7 linked regions of the Sus scrofa genome follow. The protein of the gene in region 2 interacts with the protein of the main gene of each other region in a pairwise test. Links are inferred from orthologs where the notes say so. Each region holds a gene or a part of one and is shown on either strand. Other genes may lie near its edges. The genes, in order: PRKAA2, REL, CINP, EXOSC5, TMEM8A, PRKAB2 and AQP1.

Region 1 (2,727 bases), on a different chromosome or scaffold from region 2:
AGAGATTTTCCACATGTCTTCGATCCTTTTCGCTTCACTTACACTTTTAGTTAAATCTAGGTTACTTAAAAACCAGTACAGAAGACCTACCCACCATGTCTTTGAGATGGTTTTAACATCTTGTCAACTAGTGCCAAGTTTTATCTTCTCAGAGTTCATGCCTGCGTGGCTTCCTTACCATCAATGCTTTTAAAGTCCAAAAGATAGCTTCTATTGTCAACCAGGTACAACTGTAAGCTCATTTTCACATAATTGCCAGTCACTGGATTTTTTCTTCTTACACGTAGATGGTATGCATTCACTACCTAAAACGGAAATTTTTCTTTAAGGGAAAACATTAAAAATAAACTACAAAATACCTTATTCTTATTGAAAAGAATAATATTAAAACAAGTAACTGACAGAGGTAGAGCAGAGATGGAATTCCTGAATTATCTTTTTTCTTTTACATTACACAGTAGTTTAGTATTTAATCCCTACCAACAGTACTATATACAGCAATTAAAATTTAAAGGGAATGCAGAGATTATATGGAGTCCAGCATTCTTTCCAGATGTGCCTCTACTCTAAATAATCTTCGTTGCCCATTCTCAACTTGGATACCTTTACTAGGACTATAAGCTAGACAGAGACCTAACATGTTAATGGTTTAAACCTGGCACAGTAACAGGTACTGTCACAAAATTGAAGTATCATAGTAATCTTGCAAGGAAGATATTTTCTTTTGAAGATAATAAAACAGCAACTCAGATAAAGATTCTGCTTTTTCAAAACATCAAATTATTTACAAAATGTTTTCAGTAAGGAATTTTAAGACATTAACATCTATTTTTAAACTAACTAAATAAAACCATTTCAGAAAAGGGAGATCTGCTTTTTAAATGGTTTTAAGGAAATATGATTTTGTTTATTCATTCCATGTACAAATAACGAAATAAAAATATGTCAAGTGAATATGTACATGGTATGTTTGAACATTTTTCTTCTGTTAAAAATACATTCCAGTCCTCAAGAAAGGAACGAAAATAAAAGATACCTGAAAAGGAAAAACTGCCCCCCATATACTCAAATAGAATTGAAATGCATTTGAGCACTAATAAAAAAGTAAAATGTGGACTGAAAAAAAAATATATCACAACTAAGGACTAAAAGCACTAGCCAAATAAGACAGGCTTTCTCAACTTACAGAAAAGTATTTGTCAACTCAATAAATATATCCTGATGGTATAATTTGTACGAACCACTTGTTGCTACAGCTATTAACAAAAAGAAAAAAAGAGAAAGTAAAAACATACTATCTTTGAAGACACATGACTTTTTTTCTGATGCATGCTGAAACAGGTAAGCTATTTTCTCAAGAAATTTCAAGTTTATTAAAACTCTTTCTTGGCCAAGAATGCTATTCTATAATTCAAAAATATATAGGTCCCCAACATCAACGGTTCTTAATCTTTACAAAGATTTATTTTGTTTTGAGTGTACATGGTACATTACTAGAAAGAATGGGGTTTATTAGCCAGAAGCATCTAGACCACTAAATTCATATATAAATCAAAACCAACTTTTTTATTGACCACAGTACTCAACTCAGCAGCTCACTATATATCAAAGGGCTTCTACTAATGATCTTCATATACTCCAATCTCCTACCTTCCATTCAAAATCCAGCTGCTTCATAGCTCGGTAAACTTCAGCCATAATGTCATATGGTTTGCTTTGACTTCGAATCCCAAGATGCCACTTGGCTTTTTTCACAGCTAAAGATTTGGGCTTGGTTGTATTCAGTGCATCCAATGGACATCTTGCTTTAGGGCTGTCTGCTATAAGAGGTGGCATCCTTTCTGGATGAGGTTTCAGGCCTGGGGGAATATGCATGGCACTATCATCCATAAAAGAACCAGTTGGGGGACTAGAGGCGAGGTAGAACTCACTGGCTTGGTTCATTATTCTCCGATTGTCAATGACAAGATGATAAGCCACTGCAAGCTGGTCTTGAGGGTCACCACTATACAAACTGTTCATTACTTCTGATTCTGTACACTCAAATTTTTCACACACTTCTTTCACAGCCTCATCATCAATGACGTTAGCATCATAGGAGGGGTCTTCAGGAAATAAGTAACTGGGCAAATCTTGTTTAAACCATTCATGCTCTCTAGGAAAAATACCACAACACACTATTGTAAGAACATGCTCTGGCAAGTCCCAAATAATTTATGTACAATGTAACAGAATCAGAAAGATGTGATCTCTAGGCACTCACTAGCTATGTGACCCTGGGTAAGTAAGTTAACCTCTGCTCTTGAATATGATGATTATTCAGACTTGGGTATGTGGCTGCAATTTCCTCAAAAATAAAATGAGCTTGTCATTCGAAAGGAAACAAGTGGCAAACAACTATTTGATGCCAATGATAAAATTCAAGCTTTAAAGCAAAATCTTAGAATTCTGTATTATTTGTACATGTCTCTATGAGTTTGACAGCTTCCCAATACATAAAAGTTTTTTTCTAACTTTATAGTGAAGGTGATAATAAACATGATTTGATATTATATAATGAAATGGGTCACCATTTGGAAAATCAGTCTACCTCAATAACTCAATATTTTCCATATGACCAATGCTTGATGTTACAGAATCATACATGAGTAAAAGATCCACTTGAAATAAAAACAAGACCAGTGGATTTTAATGTAATAAAGAATAAAAGTTTGAGGTCGTTAAAAT
Region 2 (4,165 bases):
TCCTAAATTAATTGTGTCAGAAGACTGGAATAAGCAATAAAGACAGCTTAACAGAACCTGAACTATGAACTCCTAAATAATCTGATAATTTAGTTGAACAAAATTTAGAATGAAACATTCAAAGTCCCAGTTATTTATGGTACTTTTATAATTTTGCTTATGAGATTATGATCTGCTACTTTCACGTTAGAGATCACACATTCAACTACACACACCTATTTACATATGACATCCGGTGAGAAATGAAGAAATGGCCTTAAATGCTTGGTAATCAATAAAAATACTTTTTGAGGTTTTATACTACTTTAATACACACTCTCAACTAGACAAGGATGAACTAAGCAAAAGGTTTTCTTGGTCCTCTTTTAGTTAAATTACTGTTAAAAACAGGGATGGTTGTTTATAACCTTTTTCTGTAAGGTCTTTACAAGTCATTAAGGAAAGTACACTCAGACTCCTTTAAAAAATTTTTTGTTTTGCGGTTTTCAAATAATTGAATTACAATTTCAATAACTTCTTACGTTGTGAATAGTGCATTTTGATGCAAGCCCAGTAAAGAAAGAAAAAGATAATTACCCTACAGCTCTCCTTTTCTTTTAATTTCTTCCCCTTCGACTTAGAGAATCAGTACACACAACAGGACAAAACAGTGTCATGAAACAAGTTTAAACGGTATCACATTTTTGAATGATGTAGGTTTTACAATACTCTATGTGAGTGGCTAATTCTTTTCTTTCTTTTGAAATAATTATTACATTCATGCCATATATCATAAAGTTTGGTTAAACTGCCGGAAGCCTGGGGTGTTTTTTGTTTGTTTGTTTTATACCTATAACGCTGGCCATTCTTTAACTTTCATACAAAATCTTTCTGATGATAAATTAACCAAATATTTTCTGTCATCTTTGCACTTTAAATCTAACATGCTTTGAATTTATGAATTTACAAGATTATCTGGAAGTCTGGGGTCACTGAAGTAGATGAAGAGAAAGTTGAAATATTTTAAACTACATTTGTATTCTCACATGAAAACCACAGACAAACTGAAATCAAATGTCATGTGAACCACCCCAATTTCCTTTTCAGCCTACAGCAGCAGCTATGGGTTTGTTCTGCTCAACCCTTTAAAAAAAAGTCCTTTATGCTCTCTACTTCCTCTTCTCTTCTAGTCATCAGCCCTCCGAGGGTCACTGAACCAGGCAGTTGGGAGGATGTGGGTCAAGCATAAACAAGTCTCCCTCTTCAGCCTCCCGGCACCGTGTTAACGCACTTTTAGGCTTCTGAGACTTTGCTCTCGCTGCTCCCTCTGGCGGGAAAGCGCCCCCCGGCCCCCCACCCCGAACCTTGCCCAGACTCCAATAAAAGTCCCACTCGAATTCAGTCTACTTGATTTGCTTGCCTCAGGTTACAAGCCGACCTAAACCATGGCGGGATCTGAGGGGCCCTCCCTCATCCTTGAAGCAGTTTCTTGGTAAACTCGGTTCCCCAAAGAAAGAGATTCACATTAAGTATTAACTATAAATAAATATTTGCTAGTTTATAAGTGATAGAAAGTTCTTTTCATGCTTCATCATATTTTAAAGCACGGAGATGATAAAACAAAACAAAATAAAAAACCGTCTTTCCCCCTTCTTTCCAAAAAGGAAAACAAAACTCGACTTCTGTTTTACAAGTTAGTAGGCACTTCACAGTAAAAATGATCCACTTGGTTGAAGCAACTTTTCCACCTACTACCTATTAAAATACCACTGGTAATTTTTAAAGCCTCACCGCATTTTGCCCAGCTGTCAGCAACAACAGCAATCACCTCTCAGCAACTGATGAGATTAAACTAAAAAGAGCTCTCCTGAGGTCGGAAGGATCCTCCTTCCTGTTCTAAAACGTAAAACCTCCAATTCAATAATAAATCAATTTTTAAATATGAGGATTTCGTCTTCCTTCATTCAGATTCTTCTAACTTCCCTAATCCAAGACCCAAGTCTTTGGGAAGTTCTAAGGTTCCGACGACTACAACGGCATCAAATTACAGAGCTTGACTTTGATTTCACACACAAACCCCGAACTCTGTCACTTTTTCAAAAGCTTGACAGTTTGCCAGCGTCGAGTTTAAAGACACAAAGAGCCACAACCAAAACTGACCCCCCGAAACTCTGAGCAGCAAGACCCTCGGACCCGCTCCTGCCCTCCCGCTGTTAGAGGTAGCCCGCGCGGGAACACACTCACCCGAGGCCATGGCTCTGCTCACCGCGCCGCCCTGCTCCGAGCGTCCGAACCGGAGGCCGCCGCAGTCAGTCAGTCCGGCGGCCGAGGGACCTCTGCCAGCGGGATCCCCAATCCCCTTGACCACCCCCGGGACCTCCTCCTCCTTCCCGCCCTCCTCTGGGTTTGCGGCTCACACCTTCCCACCCGCTTAATTCTCGCGCTCGGGTCACCCGGCGTCGCCAGTCCAGGCTGCGGGAGCCAGGGGCAGGGGGCGGAGCGCAGCAGCAGCAGCAGCAGCGGCAGCCCAGCTCTGGCCGGCCCGAGAGGCAGGCTGCCCGGCGGGAGGGGAATTTCCCCTAGCTGACGTAGGCCCCCTACACCGCCGCCTTCCCCCGGGAGGGGGCGGGACGCCTTGAGACTCGCGCGCGTGCGTCGGCGCTGGGCTGCCCCGTGCCCCGCCCCCTCCCCGGAGCCCCCAAGGGCTTGGGATCCAGTTTGGGAAGCGGGAACGGGGGACCTTCGGGAGCGCAGGGAACGCTGGGACCCGGGAGGTGACTTCCCCCAGCGTGCGAAAGCTGTTGGCTCCTGAGAAATCCCCCTCCTCCAGGATGTTCTTGGGCGCTTGGCTTAAAGTTCAGGAGCAGGTGGGAGGGTGCGGTGACGTCAGGAGGGCCGACCGCCGGCAAGCACTTAGGGGTGGGCCGGGCGCGAAGTGGGGCCGGCCCTCCCGGGCTTGGGGGGGTTTTCGATGGGTGGTTCCCCTTCTTGCACACGCAAATCTCCGCCCCCGCGCGGGCTGGCGGCACAGCGCCGATGTACCCGAGCGCCCTCGAAGGGAAGTGCGGAAGCCGCGGTAGCCGGTGCGCGGTCGTAATTCATATATTTGCATACGGAGACCCCCGATCTTCTTCCTTTGCCTGTCTAAATTGCGAGGGCTCTGTTAACGTACTTTACAAACTAAAACTTTTTAAGCTCTTAGGGTCCGCAATGTGAGTTCGTTGCCTGATGTTCATTGTGCTCAAGATTAATGTGGACACTGCCTTGGGACTGGACAGAAATAGCCCGAGGAAAGAGGGAATGTAACGTTTAGTATACTAAAGGAATCTAAGTTTACTTTGTTTCCTTACTGTGTAAAGGACCTAAGTGTCAGTTTAGTTGCCTCGTTTGTAATGTATTATTATCCTAATTTGATAGGTGAGGCAATCAGGGTTCAGAGACGTAACTTGTCCTTATTTTAGAATGCTAGTAAAAAGAAAAGCACAATTTAAATTCAGGGTTGTCTGACTCCAAAGCTCCAGGCTCTTTCCACTATCCTTTGCTGCCTAAAATAAATATGGAGGAGTAATGGAAAATAGTCTGCCATACAGGTGCCAAAACTGGGGGATCCGGTTGGGGAAATAATTAAAATCTCCTGCCACTCCCAAAATATCCTCTTCACGAAATAAAGTAGAAAAGAATGAAAGTTTTATTATTGAATAAACATTAAACCATACTGTGATGCGTTAAGACGATTGCAAAGACAAAAAAGAAATCTCACTTTATATAATCAGACAGGTACAATCAATTACAAACTTGTCTTTATCCCAAGGAAAAATAATAGGAAGTTACATCTTGGAGCTAAAAGCCAGGGTTTAAACTTCTACAGAAACAGGGAGATGGGGCAACATCCTCCTTGATGTTCACATTTCCAAGAGATAGCTCCAAGGCCCCAAGAAAGATCTTAAAGGGGCACAAAGCTATAAGAGGCTTGTTTAGCTTGCTTGCTTGCTTTTTTAGGGTCCCACTCACAGCATGTGGAAGTTTCCAGGCTAGGGGTCAAATTGGAGCTGCAGCTGCCAGCCTACTCCGCAGCTGCTCAAGGTACCAGATCCTTAACCCACTGAGGGAGGCCAGGGATCAAACCTGAGTCTCATGGATACTAGTCTGATTCATTATCGCTGAGCCACAAAGGGACAAAGGGAAC
Region 3 (4,027 bases), on a different chromosome or scaffold from region 2:
GCTATCAGCGCTCGACATTCCAACATACTGACCGGGCCGGACCTGAGATGCAGTGATGATCTCCGTGCTTAGAACTCAGGACCTGGAGTTCCCGTCGTGGCGCAGTGGTTCACGAATCCGACTAGGAACCATGAGGTTGCGGGTTCGGTCCCTGCCCTTGCTCAGTGGGTTAACGATAGGGCGTTGCTGTGAGCTGTGGTGTAGATTGCAGACGCGGCTCGGATCCTGAGTTGCTGTGGCTCTGGCGTAGGCTGGTGGCTACAGCTCCAATTCGACCCCTAGCCTCGGAACCTCCATACGCCACGGGAGCGGCCCAAAGAAATAGCAAAAAGACAAAAAAAAAAAAAAAACAAAAACTCAGGACCTGGCTCCCTCTCGGCTTCAGCGCCCATCTTAACCCCCACCCTGAACCCCCGCAATCTCTAGCTAAGAGCAACTACTGGCAACTCTTTTTTTTTTTTTTTTTTGCTTTTTAGGGCTGCACCTGTAGCACATGGAGGTTTCCAGGCTAGGGGGTCCAACTGGAGCTACAGCTGCTAGCCTACATTACAGCCACAGCAACATCAGAACCAAGCCGAGTCTGCAACCTATACCACAGCTTATGGCAAGGCCAGATCCTTAACCCAATGATCGAGGCCAGGGATTGAACCTGCAACCTACACCACAGCTTATGGCAAGGCCAGATCCTTAACCCAATGATCGAGGCCAGGGATTGAACCCGCAACCTCATGGTTCCTAGTTGGATTTGTTTCCACTGCGCCACGATGGGAACTCCTACTGGCAACTCTGAAGTTGAATCACCCACCCACTGGCTCTTGCACATGTAGTTCTCTCTGCTAGAAAGCTTCTTCCTTCCTCTGGCTAAGGCTGCCCAAACCCCAGGACTCACCCAGGTCCCAGCTCCTGCGGGAAGCAACCCCCAGACCACAATAAGCCAACTCAGGCTGTTTGGGCACCTCCCACACCCGGGCCCTCCTTTGCCTCGAATCCTCTCCACTTGGAATCCTTCAAAAGTATTTCATGGCCCACAGGATAAGGTCCAGATTCTGAGAGAGGCCACTTACGGAATCCAGGACACACAATGGCGATACAGTTTATATAGTTTGGAGTCTAGACTCTGAAGACCATACAGACTGGGTTTAAATACTTGCTCTGTCACAGCCAGCTGTGCAATTTTGGGTAAGTTAGTTAACCCCTCAGAGCCTCAAAGTACCCATCTGTAAAGTGGGGGTAAAACAGATCTACTACATAGAGCTGTTGCAATGATTAAATAATATATTTAAGCTGTGAGGGTCTGACGTGCAGCAAGTACCCAACACAGCATGTGTTATCACAAGGGCCTCTCCAGTGTGGTTTTTCCACCACCACCAAGCAATAAACTCAATTCTGACACCAGCTACCTGGAGATGGCATCCCACAAGCTAATTGCTCAGTCCTACCAGACTCTTACCCTCTCTCTCCATGTCAGCGGCCAGATCTAGGTCTGTGCTTCTGACCTACTAGAAATCTCTGATAGATCGGAGGTTCCAAAGATAGCCCCTCCACAAGGTTTGATTAATTTGCTAGAGTGGCTCACAGAGAACTCAGGAAAATATTTTACCTATTAGATTACTAGGGCCAGACAGAGAAGTGCTTAGGGCAAGATATGCAGGAAGGGGTACAGCGCTCTCTAATCACATGATTGGTTCCCCTGACAACCAGCCCCCATCCTTATCTAGGTTCCCCTTTTAAACATCATATTGATATTAAGAGGGTTGGAATTTTCAGTCCCCCCACCCCCGACCCCCATTTCCAATAAGGGAAGAGAGACTGGAGGTTGGATCAGTCGTAAGTGGTAAATAATTTAATCGACCCTCTTTATGGAATGAAGCCTCCATCAAAACCCAAGAGCAAAGAGTTCTGGGAGCTGCCAGCTTGGTGAACAGGTGGGGATTCAGGGAGATCAGCACTTGGAGACAGCCTGGAAGCTCTATATCCAGTATCTACAGTTACTCATTCACTCCTTATTTATACAACTAACCCAGCTTTTGCTGAGTGCCTACATCATGCCAGGCATGGGGAATGAAGCGACTGAACTTGGTAGACCAGGGCCATTTTCACAGAACTTACTTTCCAGAGAGGAGATGGATAACAACTAGATGGTCAGCATCAGTTTAGACCATAAACCCCACAGAATAAAACAGGGTCCTGTGTTAGGGTGAACCCCCGAGAGACTGTCATTTAGGCTGCAATCTGAATGATGAGAAGTCAACAGCTTGGGCGTAATGTGAGAATGAGCTTAGTGTGTGTAAAAAAAGAAAAGGACCAGGGCGGTTAGAATGAGAGGGAGAGAGGGGAAATAGTAGGTGAGCAGGCAGCCAGGCAGCTAGACCCTTACAGGCCAAGAAAAGAAGTCTGGGTTTATTCCAAGTCATGGAAAGCCAGCAGCAAGCCTTGAGCAGGGAAATGACGTGATCTAATGTCGGTTTTTAGAAAGTCACTTCCACCAGAAGTCTTTCTGGATTCCCAGGTTGGGTTAGGACTCCTTGCACGAAATACCTGGAATACCCTGTACTTAACTTGGCATCACAACACTCATCAGTGCAGCGTATCTTTTTGTTTAATGTCTAGCATCTTCCTCACTAGACTGTGAATTCCGTCGGAGTACCGACTAAGCTCCAACCAAAACACTCACGCCCTGCCCGCCTGGGGAAACTGGCCCTTCTCACGCACCTTCCATGCCATCCGCAGGGATCCCAGGAAAGAGACCTCCGAGCCCCGCCCACGTCCGCCGGAAGTTCCCGACGCCACTTCCACCCCGTCTGCCACCTCCTGCTCCTCTGCCGCTCTAGCCAGCGGCGGAGCCGCCTGCCGCTCGACGGTGCGGGCCCCGTTGCCCTGGAAACGGGCTCCCGGCAGTCCCCGCGGCCCGGAGTCCATCCCCGCCTCCTCCGGCCCGGCTGGGCCGACGAGTCCGGAGGGGCCGCCGCGGGAGGTGAGTCCCGCGACGCCGCCTGACCCCGCCGCCCAGCCCCGCGCCCCCCCCTCGGCCTCCCGGTCGCCCCTGTAGCACCTCAGGGTCGCACTGCCCCCTTTCCCGGTCCCCGTCTCGCCCGCGCCCGGTGGCCGAATGCCCTGGCACACGAAGCGCCGGGCTGGCTGCCTGGCAGAAGCGGAGGTCTGCCCAGGGGAGCGGTGGTCGCCCATCCCTCCGGGGCGCCCCGGCCCGCCGACACCTCCCGCCAGCCCTCCGCCCCGCGCGCCCCGGCTGCACTCGCTCCTCCCTCTCCGCCGTCCCTTCCCTCTGCCGCACCCTGGTCTCCCTTCTGCCCCGAGGCCCCGAGCTCCGCGGTCTTGGGACTGACGTGGCGCCTGTCCCCCGACCCTCAGCCCGCGTCCCTTCATCCGCACCCCTCCCGCGTCCGGCCAGGCCTTGGCACATACCCATAGCACAGAGGTGCTCAGGAGCTGTTGGTCAAGTGGGTGAACGGACGACTCCTCTCTCAGTCCTGCTTTAAGGCCTCAGGCAGAATAGTTAGTGCAGGTTAAAGAGTGGGGTACCCTGGAGTCAGACCCGGGTCACAGCGCTGCCCCGTCCTAGCTGTGCGCTCGGGGTAAGTGATGTCTCCCTAAACTTCTCTTGCATCATCAGCGAAATGGGGCTGGTAATAGTTTCTCGCTCTGGCTTGGTGGGAGGATGAAATGGGTCGGTGCTTGGGAGTTGCTCGGCACGGCGCCTGGCACGCGCGGTACATTTCAGTGAACGCCGCCCACGTACTGTACTTGCATTTCTCCTCCCTGCTCCCCGTTCTTCCTCACTTTTTCGTCGCGACTCAGGAATTTCATTCTGTTCTCTTGCTTCTGTTAACATTTGTTTGGCAGAGAGAGTGTGGGCTGCTAACCTGGGCACACACCTGTCTGCTGGCGTGATGAGTTGCACTGGGAATTGACTTCCACCTTGTAGCCAAGGTCTTGGAAACTTTAAGGAAAGGAGCTCTGGAAATTCCCAAGCCCACATCCCAGCATGGGCCGAATCTGGGAATAAAAT
Region 4 (4,159 bases), on a different chromosome or scaffold from region 2:
TCCAAATTTTTCTGACCATAACCCCCAATAAGAAATATATTTCAGGAGTTCCCGTCGTGGCGCAGTGGTTAACGAATCCGACTAGGAACCATGAGGTTGCGGGTTCGGTCCCTGCCTTTGCTCAGTGGGTTAACGATCCGGCGTTGCCGTGAGCTGTGGTGTAGGTTGCAGACGCGGCTTGGATCCCGCGTTGCTGTGGCTCTGGCGTAGGCTAGTGTCTACAGCTCCGATTCAACCCCTAGCCTGGGAACCTCCATATGTTGCAGGAGCGGCCCAAGAAATAGCAAAAAAGACAAAAAAAAAAAATTTTTTTTCAGGGAGTTCCCTCTGCAGCTCAGAGGTTAAAGAACTCAACTAATATTCATGAGGATGTGGGTTCGATCCCTAGCCTTGCTCAGTGGGTTAAGGATCCAATGTGGCTGTGGCTGTGGCGTAGGCCAACAGTTGTAGCTCCGATTCAGCCCCTAGCCTGGAACTTCCATATGCCGCAGGCCCAGCCACAAAAAGCAAAAAAAAAAGAATCACTAACGAATGCACATTGGACTCACTGCAGAGCTTTAAAAGACACTGATGCACAGGCCCCTCCCCTCAGAGAGCCTAATACCATTGCTGAGGGCTGGCGCTCAGGCACCGGCAGCCTGTGAGCTCCACAGGCCATTCTAATGTGCAGCGGGGATTGCAACCTGCAGTGGGAGGACACGGAGCTGGTGCACAGCTTCAAAACGCTGGCCTGCAATCAGAATTGCCGCTGTAGTGGATTAAAAAGTGTAGAGGGCCAGACTTAGCTGGTGTGGGTGGGTTCTGAGGCTTCAGCATTTTTTTTTTTTTGGCTGTGCCCACGGCACATGGAATTCCTGGGCCAGAGATCAAACCCTTGCCACAGCTTGGACCTGAGCCACAGCAGTAACAATGCTGGAACCTTAACCTGCTGAGTCACCAGGGAACTCCTGGGGCTCGGAATTCTTAACCTCAGTAGAGATTCTGAGGCCAGGAGCATGTGAGACACACTTCTGAGGGCCTTTGAGGGACTCTGCTCCAGGGTCCTGGGCTTTGGGGTTTTAGAACATGGAAGAGGCTCAGTATTTAAGTGCTAAGAAACTTGCATGAAGGGCAGTCCTCCGTACCTCTCTTTGACCTCCTGTCTCTGCTGCAGCCACTTTGCTCTCCTGACTGCTCCTCAAACACACCAGGCAAGTTTTTGTCTCAGGGCCTTTACCCTTGTCCCCAATGCTTTTCTCTTACTGTCTTGAGGGTTTGCTCCCTTACCTTTAGATCTTTATTCAAATGGTACCATCTTAGCGAAGCCTTCCCTGACCATCCCATTTGAGACTGCACCCCTCTCTGGCACGCCCTATTCTTCCTTCCTGCGGTAGTTTCCTCCATAGCCTTTTACTAAGTTTTACTTAGTTATCACTTGTTTCTCTGATGGAAATGGAAACTCTTCTAGGGCAGGAATTTAAAAACTTATATAAAACAGAAAAAAATATAAAAAAAGAAATTAAAAAAACACAAAAAACCTTTTTAGCTATGATTTCTCAGTGCTTAGAACAGTACTTAGCAAAAACACATGTGTTCAGGAATTCCCGCTGTGGCACAAAGGAATTGGCAGGAACCCTGGCCCAGCGTTGCCACTCTAAGGGCATAGGAAGGACACAGTTGGGGCTTGGATGTGATCCCCAGCCTGGCAACTCCGTATATATAAAACAACGAAATTCCCATTTTGGCTCAGCGGGTAAGAACCCAACTAGTATCCATGAGGCTATGGGTTCAATCCCTGGCCCCGCTCGGTGGGTTAAGGATCTGGGGTTGCCGTGAGCTGTGGTGTAGGCCGCAGATGCAGCTCAGATCTCGCATTGCTGTGGCTGCGATGTAGGCCAGCAGCTACAGCTTCATTTGAACCCCTAGCCTGGGAACCTCCATATGTTGCAAGTGCGGTCCTAAAAAGCAAAAAAAAGAAAAAAGAAAAACAAACAAAAAAAAATCAGTAGTGGTGATTTGCCAGTCTACGAGGTATTTACGCAAAAGAACAGGTTTGCCTCAACCAGGGATAGATGAATCCAGAGTGCATGTGTGGGAGGAACCTAGTCAAGGAGGACTTTTTTTACACGGTGAGATTTCCCCTATTCTGGAGTATTCGTTCTTTTTTTTTTTTTTTTTTTTTTTTGCTCTCTCAGGCCTCACATGGAAGTTCCCAGGCTAGGGATCTAATCAGAGCTACAACTGCCAGCCTACACCACAACCACAGAAACCCCAGATCCGAGCTGTGTCTGCGACCTACACCACAGCTCACAGCAACGCCGGATCCTTAACCCGCTAAGGGAGGCCAGGGATCGAACCCTCATCCTCATGGATCCTAGTCGGGTTCCTTAACTGCTGAGCCACGAAGGGAAGTCCCTGGAGTATTCGTTCTTAAGAGAAGGTCTGCCCCTCTCTCATCCTGAGGCATATTTACCAGAGTGGAGGTATCTTCACCCTTCTATTTGTCTACTGGCATATGCAGTACCATTCACTCCGGCAAGAACTGCATCAGTCCAAGAAGATATTTACCAGCTAACACAATACACTGTACCCGCCCACGAGAACAAATACGACGTGGGTAAATTCTTACCTTGCAGGAAAGAGGCAGAGCCATCGGGCCGGGACAACAAGTTTTGTTCGCAGGCAAAGTGCCGGAGAGTACAGCTGGGGCTCCGAGGGCCAGACTCTGCTCCAGACTCGGGGCGTACCTTGGTTTCAGTCTGCATCGACTCCTCCATCGCCGGGGAGCCCACGTGCAGCAGGGACTGTCGCTTCCGCCCAGAAGCGCGCGCTTGCGTACAGACTGCGTACCCAATGAGCAAGCGCCAACTTGGGTGCGGGGCCCTCCGGGATCCGCGCCCGCACGTGTCTCTGCGTTTACTAACAATCTGGTCCCTCCTACTCCCGCCTAGAGAGTCCAGGAAAGCCATTGGACAGAAGGGAAGAGAGGGCGGGCCTTGGCATGAGCTCGTCCTACCCGAGGCCCCGGGGCCCTGAAACCCTGAAGCCGAGCTCAGTTGCCCTCTGCTTTGCCTGTTAAGAGGAATAACTCCGGTGAAGCGATCGGAGTAATTTGGGGAAATCTGGATTATTTTACCCACCTATATATGTGTCCTAAAGACCGCAGGATTAGTAGCAGGTGGTTTCTTGGCAGAGCGATCCTGGTATTTGAGTCAGGCTCCTGAAGGGGCAGCCCCAGTCTCGCCAAGGAGGGGGACGCTACTCTGAGGTATTAATGGTCAAGATGGCGTTGGCGGTGGCTGTGGCGAGGGTTTGGGAGCGCAGTCAAGGCTTGGGCCAGGCTGGCCTCCTGCTTCTGCGGCGGCTTGGGGCTCGGGGTCTGGCTAGATCTGTGAGTACTGGGGAGGTACCCGAGAAGGTATAGAAATGTTAACTCCTTCTTCAGAGTGTGGCGTCCCTGTAGGGAGTACATGGAGGGCGGTTGAAGGGAGAAGGGCTGCAGAAACATCTTGTAGCGGACCCTCAAGGGAAGAAGTTTCACTTCCTTAGGAGAGGCAAAGCGGGACAGCTTCTTTGTGGACCCTCAGGGAGGAAGACAACGTGGAGAAAGTGAGGGAGGGCGTTTCTTATTAGTTGCCACCAATGCCCCGGGGAGGCCTCTTGGAGGACATGGGGGGAAAGTGTGACCTTTCTCCTCAGGGGTTGGAGAGTGAAATTGCGTTTACAAAGGAAAGATTTTCTTCTTGGGAAAGACTCCCCCTTCCAAGAAGAGAAGAGAGAGCAGATACCCCAGCACAGGCTTTTATAGTGCCTTTTTGCTTCAACTCTGGTTTTTTTTAGTTTGTTTTTTTACTTTTTATTGGGGCATCTGCAGCATATGGAAGTTCCCAGGCTAGGGGTGGAATGGGAACCGCAGCTGGGGGCCAACGCCAGATTCTTAACCCAGTGAGCGGGGCCAGGAGTGGAACCTGCATCCTCATGGACACTATGACCGGTTCCTAACCCACTGAACCACAACAGGAACTCCTGCTCTGATTTTAAAATGAATCGTGTAAAAAAGTCGTTTGATCCTGGGTCCCCTGATGCAGTACCTGGCTGTTGACCTTGTCTGTCTTGATCATTACAAAGGAGATGATTAGTAAGTATTTGTTCAGCTAATGAGGGTGGACGAGGAGGGAGA
Region 5 (4,289 bases), about 40 Mb from region 2:
CGCAGCTCGGATCCCGCGTTGCTGTGGCTCTGGCGTAGGCCGGTGGCTACAGCTCCGATTGGACCCCTAGCCTGGGAACCTCCATGTACCGTGGGAGCAGCCCAAGAAATGACAAAAAGACCAAAAAAATTTAAAAAAATAAAAAAAAAATAAAAGTGCCCCTTGGGAGGCCCTGACCAGCTCATTCCCAGTCGTCCTCTCACAGCCCTGGGCGTCCGGGTTTATCATGTCCCAGCCTTTGAACCTCCACCTGTGGACGGTGATTCGAATGCCCCCGCCCTGAGCGCCAGCGTGCAAGCGCTCCCGGCGTGCAAGCGCTCCCGGCGGAACAAATGCACAGCAGGAGATGGAGTGAGGCTCCACCCAGCCCAGCCCGCCACCCAATCCCACCCTTTCCTCAGGCTCAAACTTTTTCATCTCTGCAGAGGTGTTCGGCGCAAGAAAAAAGCCCTCTCCGGGCTTCCTTGTTTGCATTTCTCTAAGGAAGGAGCCGTTCGTTTGCATATCCTTCTCAGTGTTCTCTGGGCACTTCCTGTGGGAGAGTTGGGATTTCTTACTTGTTTGTGGGAACTCTATATTACAATCGCATTTAGATTGGCCCTTTGGGATGTGAGTGGCACGGTCGTCCTCCCGTGGCTGGCTTGCTTTTTGACTTGATGGGAGTTTTGCTCTGCAGGAAACTTTGATTTTCAGGCCTTGCGTCCCGTGTCCAGCGTCACATTTAGAAAAGCCTTCACTTCCCCCAGACTGTGCAAGAGTTTCCTTGGAGGCCCCATCGTTTCCTTTCCACGCTGAACTCCCTCATCTGTTGGAATCTACGCTGCTGCCGCCGCCGTCAAGGCTGAGGAGTGAGTCCCGTCCAACGAGAATCGCCACCGTGGTAGCGTGCGAAAGATGTATAAACCGGAGTCTTTTTCCTCTTTCCGTGACAGTGCGGTTTTCACGCACGTTTGGAGCGCGTTTGCGGTGTGACGCGCTGGGAGGCGGGAGGGAGCGCAGGCTGGCTGGACTTCGCGCGGCGCCCTGCCCACGGCTCAGTGACCCGCAGGCTCTCTCGTCCCGGGGTCAACCCAGCGCATCCAGGAAGGATGTGGGCGCTCGGCCGCCGCCTCCAATCTCCTGCGCGTCCCAGTTCGCGCCCCACTAACAGGCCCCTCTGAGCCGAGACCCCCGCGGCCGCCTGCGTCCCGCGCCATCCTCCGCCCCCAAGGGTCCCGCCACCCTTCGTCTGCTCCCGCCCCGCCTCCCCCACCTGCGATCGGTCTCGGGTCCGCGTTCGCCCTCGGCCCGCGACCTCGCTCCCACCCATCTTCTTCGCGCGCCCTCCCGGTCCCAGCACGGCCCCCGGCCCCCCGGCCTTCCGACCGTGGTCTCCGCGCCCTCCCCGCGCCCCTCTCCGGCCCGGCTCCCGGCGGGGCGGGGCCTCGCAGGCGGAAGTGCCCGGGGCGCCGGCGGCTGGGACCAGCCCGGACGATGGGAGCCCGGGGCAGAGGCGGCGGCGGCGGCCGCAGGGGCGGCGGTGGCTGCCCAGGCGGCGGCGGGGGTGCGCGGCCGGGGACGCGGGCCCGGTAGCGCGGGGCCGAGCGCGGAGCCATGGGCCGGGCTGGGACCCGGGCCGGGCGCGCGGCGGCGGTGGCGGCGGCGGCGGCGCTGGCGGTGGCCGGGCCGCTGCTTCTGCTGCTACTGCTCGCTCGGCCCCCGCTTGCCGCCGCCGGCGACAGCTCGAAAAGCGGTGAGCGAGCGCGGACCCGCGGGCGCCGTCCCCGGGTCGCGGGCAGAGGGGCGCGTGGAGGTGGGGGTGGGGCGGCCGGGGGCGGGGTCTGCATTGTGACTCACCTGGGGGCTCCTGTGCACTCAGCTGGCACGGGTGTTGGGCCCAGGTCCTCTTGCCGGGTTGGGGGCGCTGGGCAGCCCCTAGTGGGGCTCGGCGTGTGAGAGCGGTCGGGTGGAAAGCACGCTCGCGCCCCCTGATCTGTCTCGAGGGCTGGGTTCGGCCTCACGGGCACCTTGGAGCCAGCCAGCCCTCCCTTCCTCCTCCTGCCAACGCGTTCAGGTCGGGCGCGACCGTCGCGCCCTGGGAGGCGGAGGTGGAGCGGCTGAGGGGTCCCTTCTGGGAGTGTGAGAGCTGAGAGCCAAGCGCCTAGGAAGAAAGGCGGGCAGTGGGATTCCGCGGTCTCCCGCTGGTGGGGAGAGGGACAGAGGCCGGAGAAAGTTGTTTAGACCCTGGAGAAGCAGCCCAGGAGGGTGTCATGGCCCCACCCCTCCCGAAGCGACCCCCAACCACTTTGCACAGCTGGCCTTGCCTGTGGGAGGCTGGGCTTCCCGGATCCGCGGCCCCGGGTGGGCCCCAGTGGCTCTGAGAAATGGGCACCTCTGCGTTGCTTGGGAACTTTCACTCCCTTTCACGGAGGCCCGAGGAGGTGGCTAGACCAGGAGGCGCCACCGCTGGGCTTCCGCAGGACACCTGAGGATGCTGAGGAAACCCCCTGACTCCTGTGGCCTTGGACTCGATGAGGCCACGTGGCCCGGGCTGGCGGGGCTGGGAGGGCCCAGATGCCCTCGCTGGGCAGTAGGCAGCTTATCTACCACAGCCTGGGGCTGGCGCCCAGCCATCCCCCTTCTCCGAAATCTTGCTCCTCCAGGCTCCTGTTTCTTTGAGGGCTCTGCCTCTGGGTTCTGAGCTTGGCACCACTTGAAATGAAAGGCAGTTGCCCCAAGATCGGGCCCTGATGAACTCGTTCCATTGGGTAGCTCCACCCTTAATTTCTCCTTTTCCAGGGTGAGGGCTAGGTGAGCGGTCACTGGTGGGGAGTTTACAGAGATGGAAAACCTGGGGCAGCCCCTCAGCTCCCAGGCCTGCTGAAGACGCAGGCAGCTCTGTGATCCCGGCTTCTGGGGTCTGTGGGTGGGCAGGGTCTCTGCACCGGGTGCCTGTCCTGGTTTGGAGGGTGTGGGACAGGGTGTCCTCCCTAGGGTTCCCAGGACAGGTTCAGGGACCTTCTCCTCCCCCAACCCTGTGTCCTTGGAGGGGGCCATGGACAGAGCAGGTGTGTGTGGTGTGGCCGGTGCTCCCTGATATCAGGAATGTGACTTCCACATCTGGCTCAGCATGCATTAGGGGTGCTGATGGCCTGGTACATTCACCGAGATAAGTCTTGGGGCAGGGAGGTGGAGCTGCAGACCTGGGGGTGGGGTACCGGAGGGGCTCTGGCCCTGGGAGTGGGGGGCCATTGAGTCCTAGAGTGACCTCTCTTATCTCTTGTGCACCTGCTGAGACTTCACAGCTACCAGCTGGGTGGCAGGTACCCAGGGCTGGTGGGGGCCCAGAAGGCCCGGCCCCCTCTCGGATCAGGGGTGGCACACTGCAGCGTGACTTCCCTCGCACAGCCCCATCTCTAAGCTGTGTGCCCGGTAGGCTGGCTATTTCTCCAAGGCTCTGTGACCATGGACTGTGTGGGTGCAGCCGCCTCAGAGGAAGTTTGTTCAGTGGCTCCTAGTCTTCCCGGCCTGGCAGCCAGTAGACACCTGCAGAGCCTGGAGTGTGTCCTGTGTGGCACCTAGCCCTGCCCAGCCCCTACTGGGCTCCTCAAAGCTCAGACGGGCTTTGCAGCTGGGCTGCTGTCTTTTCTCAAGGAGGTTCCACGGGAAGGTCAGGAAGCTGGCAGGAAAGCCAGCGGCTCGCCTGGTTCCCTCACCTACTCACCCCGCCCACCTAAAGGGACCCTGGGCTTGCTGCTCGGAGCAGATGGAGGCCACACCCTGCTGTGTCCACAGTCCATTGTTCAGGAAGCACAAGTGCATCCATTAGCCATGGACGGAGGGGCACCCAGAGGGAGGTGCTGACTGCTGCCACTGCTAACTCTCGAGGAAGCTGGGACCCAGAGAGAGGAGGGGACAGCCATGGTCACACTGAGCTCAAGGCCGTGTTTTCTGCCAAGTAGCCCTGGCGCCTCGTGGCTGGACCCCAGGCCTGGTCGGCCGCCCCCAAGACACAGAGAGCCCACAGGGCACCTGTTCTGTGGGAGGCCCAGAGGGAGGGTCTGGGTAGGCGCCAGGTTGGCACTGTCACCCACTCAAGGGGCAGGTACCTATGCTATGGGCCCTGGATATGTGCTCCAGTTGTGCCAGTTAATGGACACTCCCAGGAGGGCCCTGATCAGCCTCGGAGCTGAGTCCTGGAAGGCCTTCAGAGTCGGCTGTCAAAGGCTGGCTTGACCAAGTACCAAGTGGGCTGCAAGGGCAAACGTTTGGAGTGTGGGGGTAGCGGAGCCAGGGAGCCACAGAGGTGG
Region 6 (4,170 bases), on a different chromosome or scaffold from region 2:
TAAAAATGGCAGAGGTAGTCTACCTTCTGTACTGTCTCTCCATATTCCTCAAAACTACACTACGAGACACCAGTAGCAGCATAAATCCAAAGTAAACAGAGAAAAAGAAGGGACTTCCACGTTATATAAGGAAATGGCTTAGAGAATTTTTTTTTTTTTTTTTTTTTTTGTCTTTTCTAGGGCCCCACCCGCAGCATTTGGAGGTTCCCAGACTAAGGGTCTGATCAGAGCTGTAGCCACCGGCCTACACCACAGCCACAGCAACGTGGGATCTGAGCCGCATCTTTGACCTACACCACAGGTCACAGCAACACCAGATCCTAACCCACTGAGCAAGGCCAGGGATCGAACCTGCAACCTCATGGTTCCTAGTCAGATTCGTTAACCACTGAACCATGACGGGAGCTCCTAAAAAATCTTGATCTCCATTTTCTCAAAGCAATGAGTTCTTGCTTGACAGGCTGCATTAGAATTAGAGAAATTTTTACATATGCCTAAGAATTACAAATGCCTCAGATTCTGATTCAAATATAGGGTCTGGGAGTCTATTCTTAAAAAGCTTTCCAGACAATAACACTGTGATTATGTTAAAAATAAAGAAACCTCATCTCTAGAAATGTATCCTAAAATACTAATAAAGTAATATTTGATATGATAGTCTGGAATTTGCTTCAAAATAATTGGTGAGGGTAGAGTGGATGGGGGTATATAGGTGGTACAAATTCATTCATGATTTGATCATTGTTTAAACTGGATGACAACTATACAGGAGTTCATCACACTGTTCTCCCTGCTTTGAAACATGGACAGTGTTTCAAATTTTCCATGAAGTGTTTAAACAAATTCCAGCCTATTCTAATTGAGAACCAGTAACTAGTCCACTGAAGAGGATGGCCCCACTGCCACTGTTTCTATCATTTACTTGTATGATTTAGTATTTTCAGTTTAGAATTTGAAAGCTACAAACTATTAATATGCTTAGCTTTGGAAGAAAGCCCTTCCACGGATAACGTGACATTTCTGTGGCAGGCATGAGTGCAGCTGACTAGCAGAAAGATTGTTTACTCCAAGTTCAATAGTCAGCAAAATCTTCAGGAAAAGTGGCAAAATAATTACAACTACAATTGAAAAATGTTTAAGTGAAACATTTAGGGAAGAAATAAAGAGAGCACATTGAGTATAAAATCTTAGATTCTGAAGAGACTTTAAGAATTATCTGAATCCATTTTCTTATTTCATGAATAGCAAGACTGAGGTAAGGGAAAGAATGATCCAAATAGACTCCATTTCAAATAGAGCAACCTGCTTTTATTCAGGATGCCAGTTACTGCAGTCACCATTTGACAAATAATACATTACTTAGATCCTGAGTCATCAATGTAGGGAAGTGGGTACAAAGCTTTGAAAGAAAGCTTTGAAGAATTTTGAAGAAGTTCAGATGGCTGAAGAGACAGCCCAAATGTTGAGAAAGAAGTCCCGAAGTGGGAAAAGAAAGGAATGGAGGAGAAACACCGAGAAAACATCTTCACTTCTTTTTGTGATTATGTTCTCAGTTGGTACTTGAAAAAATAAACTGGAGAATCCATATTTCCCACGCTATCAACCTGGCAAATTATTCTCTCTTTAGGAAAGTAAATAAAATAAAACCCCACACTGGTAGGAAGGGATAAGTGACAAGAAACATCAAACAGACCCCCCAGCTGCTCAATCTGTTTTTCTACTTCATTTTATTCTACCTGGAGGAATTAATGTATTTAATGCCAGCAGCTCTAAAAGGGATTAGAAACATTCAGGTGGTAATCACATTGCTGTCAGCTCCAACTTTGCTTTTTGTGGGGTGAATACAAGTTTTCTCCTCCCTGAAACAAGTCCTTGGAATTGAGAACAAGGTCTTCAAGGCTGCTGTGGATTGTTCGTTTTCAGCGGTGGTAACATGATGAAGTACTACTGGGAAGTGGAGAAATTCTGGAATTAACCTGCTCTGGCTCTTGAGTAGCGGCTGGAAGAAAGAAGCAGCTCAGCCACCATAACTATAAAGTATGAGATGAAAATGAGCAGTCCACCAAATGATGTCCTTTGTTGACCCCCACTAGGAGAAATTATTCAAATAAGCACGTGGTTGCCACTCACAGCCATGCCAAAGGGGAAAAGGGATCTGAAATGCTGAGCTCTCAGAAGAGCAAAGATGATACTCAGACAGAGAAGCTGTCAGGAAACAGAAATTCATTTGCCCACCTCAGGGCAGATGAGAGAAACGGCCACCTAAATGTGGCCCTCAGGTAATCCACCCTCCCCAAGGCCCACAACCTACAAATTCATCGATACCCTAGCAAAGGGTACCCGTGTCTGTTGGGAGAACCAAGAGTTAGGTCTGTTGTCCTCATCCGAAAATGCGGCCAGCAGAGGAGTCGCCTAACAAGAACTCCACCTCCGGGCTATTTTGAGGCAGCGCGGCGAAAGGAATGATCATTCAACATCGCAGTCCCCGAGAGAGCCTTTAGTTCCCAAAACCATAACTCAGGTCAGTGTGATAAGAAAGAAATCCCCAAACGGAGGAGGAGCCCCGACACCCACCCTGCTGCAGCCTCGCCCCCCGCTGGGGGCGTGGGAGCGCTCACCTTGGAGTCGGGCAGGCTGAAGAGGCTGGGGTCGTCGGTGCTCCCCACCATGATCTTATGCTCCTTGCCCGGGGCATGGCCGCCCGCGCCGTCAGCGCGAGCAGCCTTGGCGCCGTGGCGCTCCCCGGCCACCCGCTCGCTGGCGGTGTTTCCCATGGCTGCAGCTCGGAGTCGGGGGCCACCTGCCGTGCGGAACACAAGGCTAGGAACACCCCGGCGGCTGCGTCAGGAGCACCCCCGGCCCCGCCCCTGTGCCTGGGGACCCGGGCAAGGGAATCCCCGCCCCAGGGAGGCCGTGCCCGGGGGACAACCTCCCCCTCCCCGGCCTCCAGAAGCGCCCGGAACCCCCAAACCCCCTGGTTGCCGGCGGCTCAGGAAACTCGCTTTCGGGAACTCCCCCTCATCCCTGCGCTCACAGTCCAGGGGCGCCCGCCCCCGCCCAGTCACCTCCTGTAAATTCTCCCTCCTCCCGAGGCCAATGGTGCGATGGCTGTTCCGCTGAGAAGCCACCAATAAAGTTATTGAAATTGAAGCCGCGCCCGGGGCTAGCGAGCCGCGGTTCCTCCTAAAATGGCCACGAGGCCAGCGGCGCGGTGCCCGCCTAGCGCGCACTCCCTGTGGCCGTACCACCGCGGCGCCCGGGGCCCGCCGGCCTCTCTAGCCACCGCCGGCTCGATGGTGGGCAGCGGCGCGCAGCCTCCAGGGCCACGCGGGGGCGCCCGCTCCGCAGTCCGCGGCACGCAGGGCTGAGATCGCTTCACTGGCGAGGCTGTGCTGAGACTCGGTTGGTTGAGCCCCAGGGCCTGCCCTCCGGAGGGGGTGGTCCCCGAGTGACTCCAGGGCTCCGTACCCAGAGGAGCGACTTTGCCTTTCTTTCTTATGTTGTCTTTCTGGGGGGCTTCCCTGAGAGGTGGGTTTCTACAGGAATCAAGAAAGCGGGCTTCCAACAGAAGGCTGAGGAAGTAGTGGTAATTGCTAAGTGCTGTGGGAAGCAGTCAGCTGGACTGGAGCCGCGGGGAAGGAGGAGTGATGAGGAGATAAATCTTGACAAATGGTTAAACTTCGTCTAAGGAGAAGGAGAAAGCCCTGCAAGGCTAAGAAACAGCACTTGGTATGAGCAACCCCTGAAGAAATGAAATTCAAGAAAGAATGGAAACATCAGAAAGAACATTAAGGCAGAAACGGGCAGCGACAGGCCTCAGGTTGTGACTCATTCACGTTTTGAGTGATAGTTAATGAGATTGCTATGGGATTTACTCATTCTTCCTTTGTGTTATTAGACGCACGCATGTTTCATGACCTACTGGAAGCTCTTGTCACTCAGCCTGTGTTCTAGTGAGGAGCAGCATGGGCGTCACCTGGGAGCTTGTTAGACATCCTGAATCTGAGGCCTCATCCTACAGGATCAGAATGTGCATTTTAAACAAGATCCCCAGGGGAATGTGTGTGTGCATTAAAGTGTAAGAACCCCTGCTTTGACAGCTGGCAGAGAGCAACTCTAGGTTTGATTCTTCGTCATAGTCTTGCTTGTCCCGTGAACAGACTAAACTCA
Region 7 (4,038 bases), on a different chromosome or scaffold from region 2:
CTCCTCTTCCCCGCAGACGCACTGCAGCAGCCTGGTGGCCTGGGCCTGGGGTTCCTGACCAGCCTCCGGCCCAGGAGTCCAGGTTCCTGCTCAGTTCACTGGCTGCCGCTGGGCCTCTGGCTTTGGCGCAAGGCTGGACTATGGGGCGGGGTGGGGGGCGGGCATGGTCTTTAGAGCTGCCTCTTCCCTCCCCCTGCCCCAGGCAGTGTCCGGTCCCTCCCCTTTCCCCTCTGCTCTCTCCTCTTGCTCTTCTGGATTCTCACCTCTGGGTCCAGTCCTGTGTCCCCTCTTTCCAGTGGTCTTTCGCGCTTTGTGCTGTCTCTGTCTCTCCTTCTCAGTCCCCAGTGTCTCCCTATCACTGTTTGGGGATCTGTTCCTTTCACTTCTGCTTCGGCTGATTCCACATCCCACTGTCCTTCCTCCTCCCTCTGTCTCTCTGCCTCTCGTTGCCTCCTTTGCCTCTTCCCCTCTGGGCCCCGGTGTCTCTTCCTCTCCCTTTCGTGCTCCCACCTCTCTTCCCCCTTTCTCTCCTCCCCTTTCCCTCCGGGGCTTTCCGGTCAGGTTGCCCTTCCTCCTGTCTCCCCAGTGGTCCACCAGCTTCATAGGCTTCGAGAGGAAAGTCCTTGCCTGCCCTCATCTTCCCCAGCTGCCGCAAGATCATTCGCTCAAATCAGAGTAGGGAGCATCCTAGCCTGTCTCAGGCCTGCCCTGGACCACAGAGTGGGGGGTGGTCTGTAGATGAGCTCTCTGTACCCCCTGATGCCTCTGTGTCCCCATCAACTGAGGCCTGGCCGGTGGTCTGAGGGTTCTGGGACATTCCTATGGTGACATTTAGTGGCCAGGTATGGGAGGCGCAGACTGCCGCTGGGGACCCCTGGACCTGTGGACTCCAGACTCAGGCCTCTCTGGGGTTGGATGGGGATGGCAGACCAGCAGGGTCATGGTGCCCGCCTCTAGGAGGGCAACGTCCACCTGCTGAACCTAGCCGCTCACCCGCCCCATCCGGAGCGCCTGGCTTTGCCCTCGGGCACCCCCTGCGCTTTGCACACAGGGCAGGGACACCTGGATTTCTCTGGCCCCCTGAGTGGGGCCAACTTGGAGGAATTTCTCAAAGCCTATTAGAGAAACGCTGCCTCCTGCCTGCCTCCTCGAGCTGGGCAGGGCTGAGGGCGGAGGGAGAGAGGGAGGGAGGGGAGAGAGGAGGAAGGGAAAAAAAGTTGGCAGGCCGACAGCAGAGCTGTGTCTGCATCCATCGCTGAGAGGAGGCCCGTGCAGTGTGGGGCGGGCCAGGAGCAAGGAGAGGCCTTCCTCCCTTTGTGCTCCCCCCCCCCGGGGGGGCCCTATAAATAGGCCCAGCCCCGGCTGTGGCTCAGCTCTCAGAGAGAGGCGAGCACCAGGCAGCCGTCTCAAGCCAAGCCCCCTGCCAACATGGCCAGCGAGTTCAAGAAGAAGATCTTCTGGAGGGCGGTGGTGGCCGAGTTCCTGGCCATGACCCTCTTCATCTTCATCAGCATCGGTTCTGCCCTGGGCTTCCAGTACCCCGTGAGGAACAACCAGACTTCAGGTGCGGCCCAGGATAACGTGAAGGTGTCGCTGGCCTTTGGGCTGAGCATTGCCACGCTGGCCCAGAGCGTGGGCCACATCAGCGGCGCCCACCTCAACCCGGCCGTCACGCTGGGGCTCCTGCTCAGCTGCCAGATCAGTGTCCTCCGGGCTGTCATGTACATCATTGCCCAGTGTGTGGGGGCCATCGTCGCCACTGCCATCCTCTCAGGCATCACCTCCTCCCTGCCCGGCAACTCCCTTGGCCTGAACTCGGTGAGTGGGGTGGTCCCAGGCGCCGGGGCTCTAGAATGGTGCTGAGATGCCGCCGGTTTCATCCTCTGCCCACTGTGCAGATGGGGATACTGAGGAACAGAGAGGACGAGAGGTTGCTGGAGGTCATGCTCAGTTGACCTGGAACTCAGCTGTGCCTGGGTCCAGAGCCCTTTTTCTTCCAGGCACTGTGGGACACGGAGACCCAGAGCGTAATGGTCTTGCCAGTGTCCCCTGCGGGCCTCTATTATGGGAAATAAGCTCTGGAGGCAGCTAGTGGTTGGGCCAGCAGCTCCTCACCCTGGTTTCTTGCTCCCTTCCACCCCAAGCCCTCCCTGTGCAGCAGCTGCCTCCCCATGCGGCCTGGACCCCAGGGAAACTCTGTCTGCTGTCCCCCGCCTCCCTGCACCACAGGCCGGGCATGTGTGTGGGTCCGTGACAGTGTGAGCAGGACTCCCCTGGGGCTGCTCCAGCAGCCCCACATTCGCACAGGTCCCCAAACCAACTGCCTTGAAGGAAAAAGCTCCTCTTGCTCTTCTGGCCCCAGGTGGGGGACAAAGATGGGGGTGAAAACCCTGTCTGGACAGTGTGCAGGCGGTTTTCTTGGATTACAGCAAGGGGCAGGGGCGGGGCAGGGCCCTCTCACCCCCTCTCTGGGTCCATTCGCGGTGGCCGGGCACTGAGAGGTGTGGTGTGTGGGTGGGTGTGAGCCGTGTACGCGCATGGATGGCCACCCTCATGGGTCTCCGAGCCCATGGAACCTGGGCACTCCTGTGTGAGTCTTTTTTGGAAGCGTGTCTGTGTCTGTGAGCCCGTTATACTGCTGGGCAGGCATGTGTGGGGGCGAGTATGTGCCTGCGTGTGCCCACCGCTCTCAGACTAAATGGGGCCCGGCCTGGGGGCACTCAGGATAAGCAGATGTGGGTGACCCAGCGGCAGCTGCAGAAAAGAATTCCTCCTGGGCCGCTTAGCACAGCTAATTGGCTGTTGGCGGCAGTTGCCTGCTGTCGCAGACCTGGGCTTTTCCAGACCTTCAGCCAAGTGCAAACTCAGACCTGGCTTGGGCCACAGCAGGGGGAGATTTGGCCTGAGAGTCTGGGTAGGGCTTGGAGGAGGTCTTAGAACACCGCAGCCGAGGGGGCGTTGCCACAGGGAGGGAGCGAGGCCAGGGAGCAGAGAGAAGGGATCAGGTGGGGTGTCGGCTGGCAGGGCCTGGGCAGGGCAGGCGGGTGTGGGGACAGTAAGAGAGGGGCCAAGAGCCCTGCAGAGACCGCAGGGGGTGATCAGAGAAGCAGCTCTTGCTTCCCAGTCAAAGTTCAGCTCCTGGTGCTGCGGCTCGGGGAGGCTTGGCCAGCTCCGGTGCGGAGGGCAGCTGGCATGAGCCTGCCATGGAGGGATTAGCACTTCTTGTGCCACAGTGACACCTCACCCAACCCGGGGTTGAAGATTAGCCCTGTAGACTGGAGTTTAGACTTTAGTCGAGAAAGAGGTGGGCATGGTGGCTGTGAGGGACAGAGCTCCAGCAGGCTGCGTCCCTCCAGGTCTATCTCTCCAGCGGGGGCAGAGCCGGGCAACATCGGGGAGGGCCCGCCGGGTAGGGTTGGGATCACCTTGGGGCTTAGCTGGGCAGGATGGGCGTGGGGATAGGGTCCTCCTGGTGGGAAGCTGAGTCTCCCAGGCCTCTCGGCCCCCTCTTGACCCTCTGTCTCAAGGACCAGGCAGGCAGGTGTCTCTAAGCTGGCCATCCCAGGCAGACGTGGGAGGGCGGGCTCCTCTGTGTCATCTTGATCTGGCCACGCCCTCCTCCAGTGTCCCGTCCCCTCTCTGGCCTTCATTTTCCAGAGTTGCCCCAATACCTGAGCCAGGCGGGTGGCAGATGGGGGAGAAAAAGGGACAGCATCGTGTGGGGCCCAGCCTAGACTCAAGTCCTGGATCCTACCAGCTTGTTGGGTTTCCCCGAGGCTGAGAGCCCTGAGGCTCCAAGAGGGGACCTGGGTCTCTGGATATCTCCTGGCCACATGTGTAGTACCAGCATGCTCACTCTAGGTCTTGAGTTTATCACTCTTCCCAGGGCGGTCTGGCTAAGGGGAGCCCAAGAGGGGCCGTGCTAAGCATAAGGGCACTGAGCACTGTGGCGGGACCCAGGGCAGCCCTGTCCACACCGTGGAAGTTTGGGGTCTGGCAGGGCACAAACAGAGAAAGCATCCCCGCCAAGGGCTCCCG

Evidence for each region.
Region 1: the proteins of REL (region 2) and PRKAA2 interact in binary tests that used the Homo sapiens proteins (3 or more experiments, as listed by UniProt). The link is inferred for Sus scrofa from reciprocal best matches to the Homo sapiens genes REL and PRKAA2.
Region 3: the proteins of REL (region 2) and CINP interact in binary tests that used the Homo sapiens proteins (3 or more experiments, as listed by UniProt). The two-hybrid records come from large-scale screens. The link is inferred for Sus scrofa from reciprocal best matches to the Homo sapiens genes REL and CINP.
Region 4: the proteins of REL (region 2) and EXOSC5 interact in binary tests that used the Homo sapiens proteins (3 or more experiments, as listed by UniProt). The two-hybrid records come from large-scale screens. The link is inferred for Sus scrofa from reciprocal best matches to the Homo sapiens genes REL and EXOSC5.
Region 5: the proteins of REL (region 2) and TMEM8A interact in binary tests that used the Homo sapiens proteins (3 or more experiments, as listed by UniProt). The two-hybrid records come from large-scale screens. The link is inferred for Sus scrofa from reciprocal best matches to the Homo sapiens genes REL and PGAP6.
Region 6: the proteins of REL (region 2) and PRKAB2 interact in binary tests that used the Homo sapiens proteins (3 or more experiments, as listed by UniProt). The link is inferred for Sus scrofa from reciprocal best matches to the Homo sapiens genes REL and PRKAB2.
Region 7: the proteins of REL (region 2) and AQP1 interact in binary tests that used the Homo sapiens proteins (3 or more experiments, as listed by UniProt). The link is inferred for Sus scrofa from reciprocal best matches to the Homo sapiens genes REL and AQP1.

Annotation. Positions count from the first base shown.
Region 1 is NC_010448.4:155,692,518-155,695,244, forward strand, and holds part of PRKAA2 (5'-AMP-activated protein kinase catalytic subunit alpha-2), read right to left. Parts: intron 2,156-2,727; coding exon 1,651-2,155; intron 306-1,650; coding exon 179-305; exon of another isoform or gene 91-178; intron 1-90. UniProt on the Homo sapiens protein: Catalytic subunit of AMP-activated protein kinase (AMPK), an energy sensor protein kinase that plays a key role in regulating cellular energy metabolism.
Region 2 is NC_010445.4:80,909,434-80,913,598, forward strand, and holds the start of REL (proto-oncogene c-Rel), read right to left. Parts: upstream 2,801-4,165; 5' UTR 2,234-2,800; coding exon 2,224-2,233; intron 1-2,223. UniProt on the Homo sapiens protein: Proto-oncogene that may play a role in differentiation and lymphopoiesis.
Region 3 is NW_018084979.1:1,150,398-1,154,424, forward strand, and holds the start of CINP (cyclin-dependent kinase 2-interacting protein), read right to left. Parts: upstream 2,801-4,027; 5' UTR 2,720-2,800; coding exon 2,713-2,719; intron 1-2,712. UniProt on the Homo sapiens protein: Component of the DNA replication complex, which interacts with two kinases, CDK2 and CDC7, thereby providing a functional and physical link between CDK2 and CDC7 during firing of the origins of replication.
Region 4 is NC_010448.4:49,378,948-49,383,106, forward strand, and holds the start of EXOSC5 (exosome complex component RRP46), read right to left. Parts: upstream 2,801-4,159; 5' UTR 2,757-2,800; coding exon 2,609-2,756; intron 1-2,608. Other genes in the region: BCKDHA (2-oxoisovalerate dehydrogenase subunit alpha, mitochondrial), read left to right, coding at 3,254-3,370. UniProt on the Homo sapiens protein: Non-catalytic component of the RNA exosome complex which has 3'->5' exoribonuclease activity and participates in a multitude of cellular RNA processing and degradation events.
Region 5 is NC_010445.4:41,318,418-41,322,706, forward strand, and holds the start of TMEM8A (transmembrane protein 8A), read left to right. Parts: upstream 1-1,489; 5' UTR 1,490-1,593; coding exon 1,594-1,732; intron 1,733-1,836; exon of another isoform or gene 1,837-2,585; intron 2,586-4,289. UniProt on the Homo sapiens protein: Involved in the lipid remodeling steps of GPI-anchor maturation. Lipid remodeling steps consist in the generation of 2 saturated fatty chains at the sn-2 position of GPI-anchor proteins (GPI-AP).
Region 6 is NC_010446.5:100,377,174-100,381,343, reverse strand, and holds the start of PRKAB2 (5'-AMP-activated protein kinase subunit beta-2), read right to left. Parts: upstream 2,801-4,170; 5' UTR 2,775-2,800; coding exon 2,619-2,774; intron 1-2,618. UniProt on the Homo sapiens protein: Non-catalytic subunit of AMP-activated protein kinase (AMPK), an energy sensor protein kinase that plays a key role in regulating cellular energy metabolism.
Region 7 is NC_010460.4:42,073,942-42,077,979, reverse strand, and holds the start of AQP1 (aquaporin-1), read left to right. Parts: upstream 1-1,238; 5' UTR 1,239-1,428; coding exon 1,429-1,818; intron 1,819-4,038. UniProt on the Homo sapiens protein: Forms a water channel that facilitates the transport of water across cell membranes, playing a crucial role in water homeostasis in various tissues.